Linked DNA regions of Schizosaccharomyces pombe. The gene in region 2 interacts genetically with the main gene of each other region. Each region holds a gene or a part of one and is shown on either strand. Other genes may lie near its edges. The genes, in order: alp1 and tbc1.

Region 1 (6,390 bases), on a different chromosome or scaffold from region 2:
AATCGGATAAGTTAGAAAGAGAATTACAACAGCTCAAACTTTCTTCGCATAACAGCATGCTTCAATTAGACCAGCGTATACAAAGTATAAATATCGAAGCGGATCAAATTGCACATGCTTGCATGGAGTACAAAAACAATATATATAAAGAGGTTGCATTTGTGCTTGGTGAAATAATACATTTCAAGCTACACGTTCAAGACAGTTTGGAGGATTTGAAGATGGACTACCAAAAGGAATTGGATGACCTATCTCGTTCGGAACTGTAAATTCTATTCATCGTATTGTGCTGTCTACTATATTCACGGCTCATGAATACATTTTTTTATCACGATGGTGTTTTTGTGTTTTATGCTTTAATCTCTTACTTTTTAATTACAATTCTAATGAAGGTAATAATAATTCAACTCTCAATTTTCAAATGTAATTTTTATTGGTTGTGTTCCTTTTATGGACATCAATTTAGTACTACATAAGCACGAACTGTTTTGGCTAAAAATTTGAGATTATTCACCAGATATTTTATTGATTGCAGATTTTAACGTTTTTATACATCATATACACGACTATTTAAAAAGCTGAAAGTAGTTCAAAATTTATTATCGATCAGCTATCAGTTTATCTATTTGTTTCTGTATTATATTCCTTAGCTGTTTAACAAAAGTTGCGTTTTGAGATACTGGTACGAACCAATCCAAAGTCAGTAGTTTTTGGTTTAATTCATTAGGGAGGAAAGTTAGCAAACCAATTGACTTCGCATAGAGCAAAGTGTCGGCTGCTTGGTAGCGTACTTTTTCAATCGGGTTTAATAGTAGGTTTGCCGTATATTTTAAAGCATGATGCCTCAAAAGTTCATTTTTGGAAAGAAAAAGCGTCCGATATAACTCTAGTATCGCAGAAAGTCCCCCTGGTGATTTACAAGTAAGAGCCCTTCTCTGTACAATAAAAATCGCTTTTGACATGCTGATATCATTAGTATTTTGAACAAAATGTAAAAAAACATACCCCTTAACGTTTTGAAAGTCCGTGAAACAACCATATGCTAACAAAGATGTGAAAGATTTCATGATTGGAAAATAGAAACGAGCTATTTCATCCTCCGAAGAAAGTATGTCTATATAGAGTTGTAGAAGATCCCGTTTACCATAACGAGAGTTAGATTTTTTAAACGAATCTTCTAACTGGTAAACATAACTTAGATAAAATTCAAAACATTTAACTGCCTAGTAGAGTTAGTATATTAAGACATCGAAGCATATGATAACTTACTAAGTCACTGCCAAAACCATCGGCAGTAAATACTGTAATTCCGTAAAAAGCTTGAAGCCTTAAATTAGGTATTTCTAGCAGAGATATATTCAGTTCATTTAGTACCTCTCCATCCATATTTGGATTATTCCTGAAACTAGTGGTTAATAGCAGAATTTTAATTGAAAACTCATTTTACCTAATACGATTAATAATATTAGTCAAAGCTTCGCATCTTCTGATTAGGTAATGTACTCTGATTTGTTCGAGTGCTTGATATGCCAAACCCCTCAAACTATCAATTTTATCAAATGTTTGCCTTATAATATAGGAAATACAACACCAAACTATATCTTCACTTAATTTTTTTCCAGATGAATCTTTGACTAATAGACTGGAAATGGCCTTCATTGCAGGTTTGCGAATCCATGAGCCAACATCTCCTCGGGTATCTGTCAAATAATTGGAGCAAACCTGAAGTAATTCTTTGACAAATTCTTCAATGCTTTCTGTTTTTTCATAAGTAAAGGGAATAATATTTTGAAGCGCATTCGCAACAGGTGCTTGATAGTCTATTGAGTGCTGTTCATGTTAACATTGGTGAAAAAATTCTTTACTTACGAGTTGGGGATAAATATCCAATAAAAGCTTGCATATCTTTTTCTGGTATCGAAAACTTATATTCGGTAAATTCTGTAGAATAATGTATACAATTCTCGCTTCTTTACTTGTTGAGCATTTTCGTATATAGTCAAGAAGAACCTCCAATGTTTCTTCCATATCATCAAATTTAACAAGTACACTGTAAGCGTCACTGATGTCTTTTATGATTGTTTCCTCCTGTAAATCAATAGCAGCGATTATAACAGAAAATGCTTCACTGAAAAATGCTCTGTCAACACGAATATCATTGGCAAAAATTTGTTGAATTCCTTTTAAAATTCCCAAAATAATTTTTGTTTGCTGTTGCCTTGAAAATTTTTTTAAGGACAGTAGGTTTTTGTGCGACAGTAAATCATGGATACGATTTATATCGAACGGGAAGCTTATGGATAAAAATCCACCTATAATACTTGCCAATCCAATCGTATAGCCAAAAATAAAATCTGCATTACCAACAGACAAATAATCAAGTATGGGAGGAAGATAGATGCTTAGCTCTTTGGGATATTTAATAGAAAGTTGTCTTAGGGAAAAAGCAGAAAGCTGCTGTACCTTCACGTCCCAGTGCTGAAGGTTTGTAAATAGTCTTTGGAAAACACAGGAACGAAACTGAGGAAAATGAGCTACTTTCATACACAAGTCACCATAACAATTTGAAATATCCGTTACAGAAACATAGTTAATATGTGATATCAAAGAAAGCCCATCGGGAATAGAAGCGTGTCTGCCAATCACCTCAAATAAAGCAGCAGTTGCAGCTCTGCGCACATTTATTTCATTGTCAAACAATACCGTTTGTAAGAGACATAAAATAAGATTCGTTTGTAAGCCTTCAATTGCTGACTTAGAGTAGCAATGATAAAATGACCAAACAAAATAACAGGAGGCATCTCTGATGCTTTGTCCTGTTACTCTAGTTCCATATCTTACTTCGTATGATAAGCCCTAAATAAGGATTAGAATGATATAAGAAAACAAAGTGTACTTACTACTTCGATCAATGGAAGAATATGTAAACATTTACTATACTTAATTAAACCTGCACCTGCTAGTTTTGCGAAGAAAAGTATAGCTCCGTGCCAAACCAGTGGAGAAGTAATTGATATGTTTACAGTGTTTTCTATGGGGTTTAAAAACATATTTTCTGTCATCAATTCAATAATGGCATCGATAACTTGCTCAGCCAAATTCCAGGGCAAACGACTTATGATCTTGGCTAGCCCTTTGGCTGCAGACCAGCGTACAAAACTGTCTATGTCGCTTACAGATGACAATAAAAAATCAACAATAACCTCCAGATATATATGTACTTCTTCGTTAGAGTCATCAGGTAATTGAAAGAAACTATCTGGGTTACTGATCGAGTATTTCCAATTAGGGGATGAATTTACAGGCAGCAATACAATTCCCAATCTTGTATAACATTTGCATAATAATTTCCTCAACGCTGAATTTTCTTGTCCAACTAAATCTTCTCGTGCTACATTCAGAAACTGAAACGCAACATCAACTGTTTGAAGACAATCATTTCTCGGACAAATTTTAAGAAAAGAAGATAAGGAAAAAAGACACCCAATTTTGTAAAAGATACTTCTCTTAAACCAACTACTCTCACAGTGGTGTAGAAAGCCTAGAAGTAAATCCAAACCGTCATCACGAGAGAATAATCGGGACAAAACAAGACAAGAAGCTTCTTTGTCTATTCCCGAATTTTCTAAGTATTTAATTGCTATAGTGTAAATGGTCTTCTTCACATCCAAGGAATCATCTAATGAATTTAACGGGAATGGGGTATTGAGTGCTTGAGAAAGCCACAGTAAAACTATGTAGTGAAAATGCCAGGTATTATTTGATGATTCATTTAATAATGTATATAATTCCTTAATATATTGAACGCCAACAGGAAAGAGGACGCGAACAGCTTTATATCCTCTTATTTTACAAAACTGGTAAAGGATAACGGTAATTGAGTTACATTTTCCGATATTTTTCACTTTCAGTAAATAGCTAGCCAAGTTTGGAACGTATTTACTCAGTAGTTTATCGAGCAATGTCGGCTGAAATTGACAAAATTGCAACTAGAATTTTAATTAGAAAGGTCACAATATCTTTTTAAACATACATATTTAACAGCGACGTCTTTAAGTTTTTCCACAGAATGTGAAGAACTTCTATCGTCTAAAACATCATCGAGAATTTGCGATAAACGTGAGGTTATCAAAGACTCATCTATAGAAATAATTCCTTCTAAAGATTCTTCTTCTTCCATTTTTGTTTAAAATTTATGCTATGATTATTTTTGACTGTAACGACTTTAAGCAATTAACGCGTGTTGAATAAATTATGAAAAACGAATAAAGCGAAAAAATATGTTAATCTCCTTTCTTTTAGAATTTCTTTCGTCCTAAAAAAAAAACTTGGTCCCTAATTTTCTGTATTGCCTTGGACAATTTCCTCCTTTGTCACTCATGAGGTTGCAAATGATACCAATAAGAAAATAAAACAAGTTTGAATAATTTTAGACCTGTAAGATTTATTAACGATTAAATTTCACAAGCTTTGATATTGAAAAACATTATGAAAAGTGGGATAATAAAAAGGTAAATTATTGTGGTGGTGTAATCTGTACCCACTACTGATATTTCAAATCTCAAATCTAAACGTGAGCAGTTATTAAGAATGCTTTTGGAGCAACCACTGTGATATTTGTAAATGATATATTATTTCTGCGAATGAATTAGGAATACAGCCAGACAGTAAGCATATCTGGTAGTAAAGGGCCTATATATTGACAGCTCTAACGCAATTATTTCATAGAGTAGACATAATATTCACGACATAGATTCAGTAAGTTCGCATGTTATTCATTCTTTTGGTACAAGACTAGCATTTGATATTACAAATGTATAGCAGTATCGTTTAAATAGATCTTTACTTAAAGATTCTCAAACGTTACAATAATTTTCCCAAGATGTTGGCCTTTAAACTAGTCGGCATAAATTTACAGAGCAATTGTAAGTACTTGCTAAACTGAAGAGAATTTGAATTAGAGGTTTCAGGTTAAAACATATTCAGTGTTAACTATATCCAGCTTGTTCGTGATATATATTTTTGAGTTAAGCCGAAATTTATTGCATGAAATAAAAAATAAAAAAAAATAAAAAAATCACTTTTATTAGCTTACAATAAACCAACTTTTCTCGATTATTTGTTTACACATGTCAAATAAGGTGTTTCGATATACATCCCTGTTGTCAGAGCAACGATTTATATATATCGCTTACCACTAAATTTGCAAAGTCTCTTCAAGCCGTCGAATTTAATGAAAACCACCATGTTGATGCTAGTATTGCTAGTCTGCTCATACATACATTATGTATGTGCGCAAATTCGATTCGTCACTCCGGCGACAACAGATAGTATGGATTTTACCGCTATTTCGTTTTCATGGGAAGAATCTAATACGGGAATACCTCTTGAGGACATAACCAACACAGTTTTTTATATATGTAGTGGTAGCATGGATGCTCCTCAACCTTGTGCAGTCTTGTATACGTCCCCTAGTCCTTCTTCTATATCCCAAGCTGGACCCTTCGCTATTTCTCAGGTTTTTGGACCAGCTGGACGTCTTTACTTTCTTTGGGCACAATCTACATATGCTGGTGGTATAGTTAATGACTATACTGACTTTTTCACTGTTAATGGTCTAACAGGAACTTTTGATAATTACGAAATTTATGCGTCTTTGATGGCTCTTGGTGTGTATCCTTATGTTCCTACCCTTACTGGTTTTAGCACTTTTCTTGGTGTATGGCCTACAGGTACAATGCGAGATTGGTATCTATCTCAAACTACCGGTGTTCTCCGTACAGGACCTATTCAAAATCGACCAGATTCTACTTTTACTGCTGCTACGACCGACATACAACCGCTATGGGAAACTTCCTCTTATTCCGTATTTACCACGTTTGCAGGTCCTCCCATTGCCACCTCGACTGTCTTTGCATCTCCAACGTACATGTATACGTTGTATGCTAATTATGCTAGTACGGCCTCTAAGCCTACTATAATCGCAACTCCAACTGCTGGTTTAAGGAGACGAGACAGCTGGGCTCAAGCTGCTCCGAAACGTGGGATGCGTTTAGGTGAACACAAACGTGGGTTGTTATATTCCTAAATTGTTAATTTTTTTTAAGGCCAAAGCCTTTCATGTCATTTAGATTTTTCATTAGCACACTAGGATATTACTGTGTGCATTTTTGTCTGCTTCCTTTAGCTCAAATACATTGAGTCGTTCGTCAAAGAAAACAAAATATTTTGGTTATTTGTTATCTAAAGTCATGTTTTTTTTCATATTTACCATTATGCTGTTTCTGTGGAGTTAATTTCACGTAAAAGCATCTTCAAGTGCATGAGTTATTTCTTCATTCGTTCAATTTTTACTTTCCTTTCTCCCTTTTCATTCGTTCTTTTACATAT
Region 2 (4,642 bases):
CCAATTTGAGCACCATAACGACCCAAATGAGTCGTCGATAAGACATATGTGACAAGAAATCCTACAAAAGGAAAGAGAATAGCGACACAAGCACTCCATACAAAGGAGAAACCAGTTCCAACGGACATCCCATCAATGTAAATCTCGTTAGATCCGTAATCTGGAATTACCATAGTGGTATCCCAGTAAGGAGGGGCGGTATCCGCAGCAGCCTGTTCATAAGAAGGGGGCTCCTCTTCCAGTTCTTCAGTATTAGATTCCACTGTGGGTTTAGCAGATAAATTAGAGAAGACACTATCAACGTGATGGCCATCTGCATGATTTGATGAAGTGCTGGGAATTCGATCATTGCTACTACGTACATGCCCAGAGTCGTTGCCAGGATCCGGCGTTGATAAATGTTGGTAAAAAGCTTCTTCTCCTTCTATTGATGCTCTGGCAGAGCTATATAAAGGTGCTGTTTCACTGTATTCCACATCGTCGTCTGGAGGCTCGAAAGCAGCTGCCAATTCCGATCGATTTGTAGACCGGTTTTCCGGAAATTCAGGTATTGGAGTATGAATTGAATTTTGCTAAAATAGATTTGTTAGACTGATATATCAGGGAATTTAAACAGTATAAAAAGAAGGCTTATCCTTACATTTGAATTAGTACTCATGGGAATTGTGATATCTTTCAACCCGTATATAATGAGGTAAAGTGATTAATGAACGTTCCCAAAAATTTCCGTATTTTTGTTTTTTAACCCACTAAATGCTCTTTGATTTTAAATTAACAGAGTGGTGGAAGAGTACAGGATGGATCGAAACCATGGTATTATTAATGATCGTTACTTGCAAGTAACAACTATATTCAAAATCTGTAGAGAAATCAGATTAAAAAAAAAATATGGGAATTGAGTGTTTTAGGTGACATATCAGAAGCTAAATTCCCGTTATAAATTATTTTTGATATCTATTCTTTTCAATAAACCAAACAAGCCAATTGAAATCAATGGCTTGGGTTATAACAATTAGTGATCAGATATGTATTCCGACAAGAAGTGGTATAAAAAGTCGAAAATGAGAAACAAGGAATCTCAAAGGATTTACTGATATAATCGACTTGGTGGTAAGATGGATGGATGACATGAATGATTAGAAAGGCGTACGAAAGAATATTAAATTAAAAAAAAAAAGCACCAACGAGTGTATGTCAGTAAAAGACCAAGCTAAACCGTTACGTATTTTTACTAATGGATGATTTTGGTGCATACATATAGAATTTTAAGCGTCAAAAAGGTCACTAGTGATACGAAAATGTGGAGACGGGTCAGAGCGTGCCCAAGTAAAATCCAAAATAGGATGCTCATCTTTATAAGAAAAGGATATCTCCTTTGATTCTTCAATGACGGGCGATGTTTTGCATCGCAGGTGCACACGAAGGTTGGTAGAATGGTGAAGACGAAACTAGAAGGCGTTAGCGATATAATCAATCAAAAGAAGGGCCAGAAGGCAAAGTAAAATCAAACAGTAGAAAGCATTATCAATTTTGTTTACACAGCATTGTTGTGATCCATACTAAGAATATGGGATCTAAATATTGACAACCTAATATAATGATAGCAGTCTCTACGTCTAACTAATAGTTTCCATCAAAACCATCGTCTAGATGCCTTCAAATTTATCAAAAAAACTTACTTGGTGACACGATACACAGATTGTTGAGTCGTTAATATCAGAAAGATGGATAGAACCCTGAATGGTTGGGAAAGTAAAGTTGCATTTTGTAGCGTTATGTAAGTTCACAGATGAGCAGTTGGATATGGAAATATTGCATGATCGTAAACTTTTTGCGGAAACTTTGACAGCTTTGTTGTTAGGATATGGAATGACATTATCTCCAATGTTTTGGTTTTTCAAATTTGCCAAGTACAGGGTGTCATTTTCAAAATAAACTTCTGGAGCTTCAGCATTAACTGTAATATTTTTTACCGGTTTCTGGGACGATTTGACGTGCAGTGCCCGTTGAAAGCGAAATGGCTGTCTGGGCAAAATGTCGTGTCGAATTTGCTGAAGCCTTCGTGTCAAATCTACTAGTTGTTCCATGCATACTCTCCTGTCATATGGTGCAATTTGGTCTTGAACTTCATTTAGCTCCCTCGTCATTTCACCTAAATATTTTGACTTTTCTTCAAGCCAAGTCTCTTTTTCGGAGCGAGAAGTCTGCTCACTAGGAGTGGATTTATATAATTTGGTAAGAAATTCTACAAAAAAGTAGTTAGTAAATAGCACAACAAACAGACCTTTCGATATGAACGAAATTGCAGATGTAAATAAACCCATACCTTTTCTCAATTCGACGAACTTTTCAGACATTTTTCCTTTTAAATTAGAACTAAAACACCCGTTATATATGCAAAATTAAATCACAGTACGTTATGCTGTGTTCAATGATCATTCAATAAACATATATTTTTTCAATTTTAACCTGCACCAAAAGTCATTCAAACAGCTCGGGAAAAAAAGGATTCTTAAATAAATTCATCAAATCAGTATTAGTTTTAATCTTAACTTCGATACTTCGGGTGCAAAAATTATTATGAATTTTTAAAATTGAAACCAAAAATCCAACTCTTCAAAGGCGAAGTACAGAAGACAGTGCCTTGAAATGAAAATTATCTTCACTCAACTCAAAATGACTTTAAGATTTGGAAATAAACGAAGTTTTGTCGATTTTATCGTTATGAATATTTTTAGCGGCTCTTATCTTTTATCATTGAGAATCATCTTAAATTTACCTGTATGTGAGCTCAACAGATGTTTGCCTTCCATTCCTTAACAACAACGCCCAGCAGCATTTGTTAAGTGTGAAAATTGAAGTTTAACTACTATATTATCGAAAATGCCTCATGATAATATTCCATTTCCTGTTACATTTGCTGCCGGCGCAGTTGCTGGAATCTCAGAGGTAAGGTTTTTTATTTGGAGCACTTTATTTCATTGAAAGATACGTTTGAAGGCTTTCGGAGAAGAATGTTATTATCTTCAAAATGCTCAATGAATTGCGTAAGGTAAAAGAGCTGTCTTGGAGATGAAGGAAAGCAAACGTTTGATTCCGTAGATGCTGAACGAATTACTTCTTTATAAGTTTTATCCCATGTTTTTTAAATCTCTCTTTACCTCTCTTTTACCATTAAAACCTTTAACATGGCCTTGTTTACTAACTCTTTCTTTTTCAGGTCCTAACTTTGTATCCTTTGGATGTTGTTAAAACTCGTATGCAACTGTCCGTTGGTAAATCAGACTACAATGGAACCTTTGATTGTCTCAAAAAGATCGTCAAGAATGAGGGTCCACATCGTTTGTATCGTGGAATTTTACCTCCAATCTTGATGGAGGCTCCTAAGCGTGCATTAAAATTTGCTTCCAACGATACTTATTCAAAGCTGTGGCGTAAAGTCTTCAAGAGAAAGGATTCAAGTCCTGCACTTTCTATCCTCACTGGATCATGTGCAGGATTTACTGAAACGTTCGTAGTCGTACCTTTCGAACTGATGAAAATTCGTTTGCAAGACGTTAAGAATGCTTCTAAGTATAACGGAACTGTCGACTGCTTTACTAAAATTGTAAAGCAAGAGAGAATTTTAGCTCTTTACAATGGGTTTGAAGCCACTATGTGGCGCCATGTCGTTTGGAATGCTGGATATTTTGGTGTAATTCAAAAGATTCGGAATTCATTGACGCCTGCCTCGAGCAGAATTGGTGAAATCCGTAATAACCTTATTGCTGGAACTATCGGAGGAATATTTGGTACATTCCTCAGCACTCCCTTTGACGTTATCAAGTCGCGTATTCAGACAGTTCCTCGTATTGCCGGCCAAGTTCCAAAATATAACTGGGCCTATCCAGCTCTAGTTACAGTCGCAAGGGAAGAGGGTTTTACAGCCCTGTATAAAGGTTTTGTCCCTAAAGTACTCCGTCTGGGCCCTGGTGGTGGTATTCTTTTGGTTGTTTTTAATTCTGTCATAGAGTTTTACAAGAGATGTCTTGTACATAACGCCTCTGCTTAGAGATCAAGGTTTTTTTTGTTTTTCTCTCCCCCTTTTTTTGGTTCCTAAAAAAATTTTTTTCATTGCCGGGTCTTCAGTAAAGGTTGAAAGAAAAAAGTTTCCTACGACTTGAATTCGTGGGCTCTTTTATCGTATTTAGCAATCGCTAAATACGTGTATATTTGTTATCAAAAGTTTTTTGGCTTAATTTTCTCTTTTTTTTGTTTACATTGCATGTATATATTTTCCATCCCTGTTAATCATTTCGATGCTGTGTTAATCGTTAAATTTAGCAAGTCTTTCATGATTGAAGAGTACATATTGATTTAAACATTGACCTTCGAAAAACCGTTGTGTTTTTCTCTTAGATTTGCGATCATTAGTATAAGTAATTATACAACGCAATCTGTTTCAACACTTTTTAGAATTTTTGTTATATGTCTTCATTCCTTCAAATGAAAAAACTCAATCAAGCATCCCAGCCATTTCGGTATATTTATAATATTATATTCTACGTGATTACTACAGTCGTTATTTTTAAGGTGTGAAAAACAAAATCATAGATAATGAAATACATTTATTAAATGGACTATCCAGTTGAAGACCCAGTAG

What was found.
Region 1: mutations in tbc1 (region 2) and alp1 are lethal when combined (synthetic lethality), as found in Schizosaccharomyces pombe (one study listed by BioGRID).

The regions. Positions count from the first base shown.
Region 1 is NC_003423.3:3,352,546-3,358,935, forward strand, and holds alp1 (tubulin-specific chaperone cofactor D Alp1), read right to left. Parts: upstream 4,503-6,390; 5' UTR 4,181-4,502; coding exon 4,034-4,180; intron 3,990-4,033; coding exon 2,901-3,989; intron 2,857-2,900; coding exon 1,870-2,856; exon of another isoform or gene 1,831-1,869; coding exon 1,448-1,830; intron 1,400-1,447; coding exon 1,270-1,399; intron 1,224-1,269; coding exon 1,006-1,223; exon of another isoform or gene 964-1,005; coding exon 600-963; 3' UTR 501-599; downstream 1-500. Other genes in the region: protein Ndc80, read left to right, coding at 1-269; knh1 (KRE9-like protein), read left to right, coding at 5,234-6,088. UniProt on the Schizosaccharomyces pombe protein: Has a function in the folding of beta-tubulin. Microtubule-associated protein that is essential to direct polarized cell growth and to position the nucleus and septum to the center of the cell during mitosis.
Region 2 is NC_003424.3:3,491,827-3,496,468, forward strand, and holds tbc1 (tubulin specific chaperone cofactor C Tbc1), read right to left. Parts: upstream 2,747-4,642; 5' UTR 2,358-2,746; coding exon 2,327-2,357; exon of another isoform or gene 2,246-2,326; coding exon 1,680-2,245; exon of another isoform or gene 1,449-1,679; coding exon 1,266-1,448; 3' UTR 763-1,265; downstream 1-762. Other genes in the region: bsd1 (heavy metal ion homeostasis protein), read right to left, coding at 1-572, 641-658; odc1 (2-oxoadipate/2-oxoglutarate transporter), read left to right, coding at 2,884-2,949, 3,221-4,051.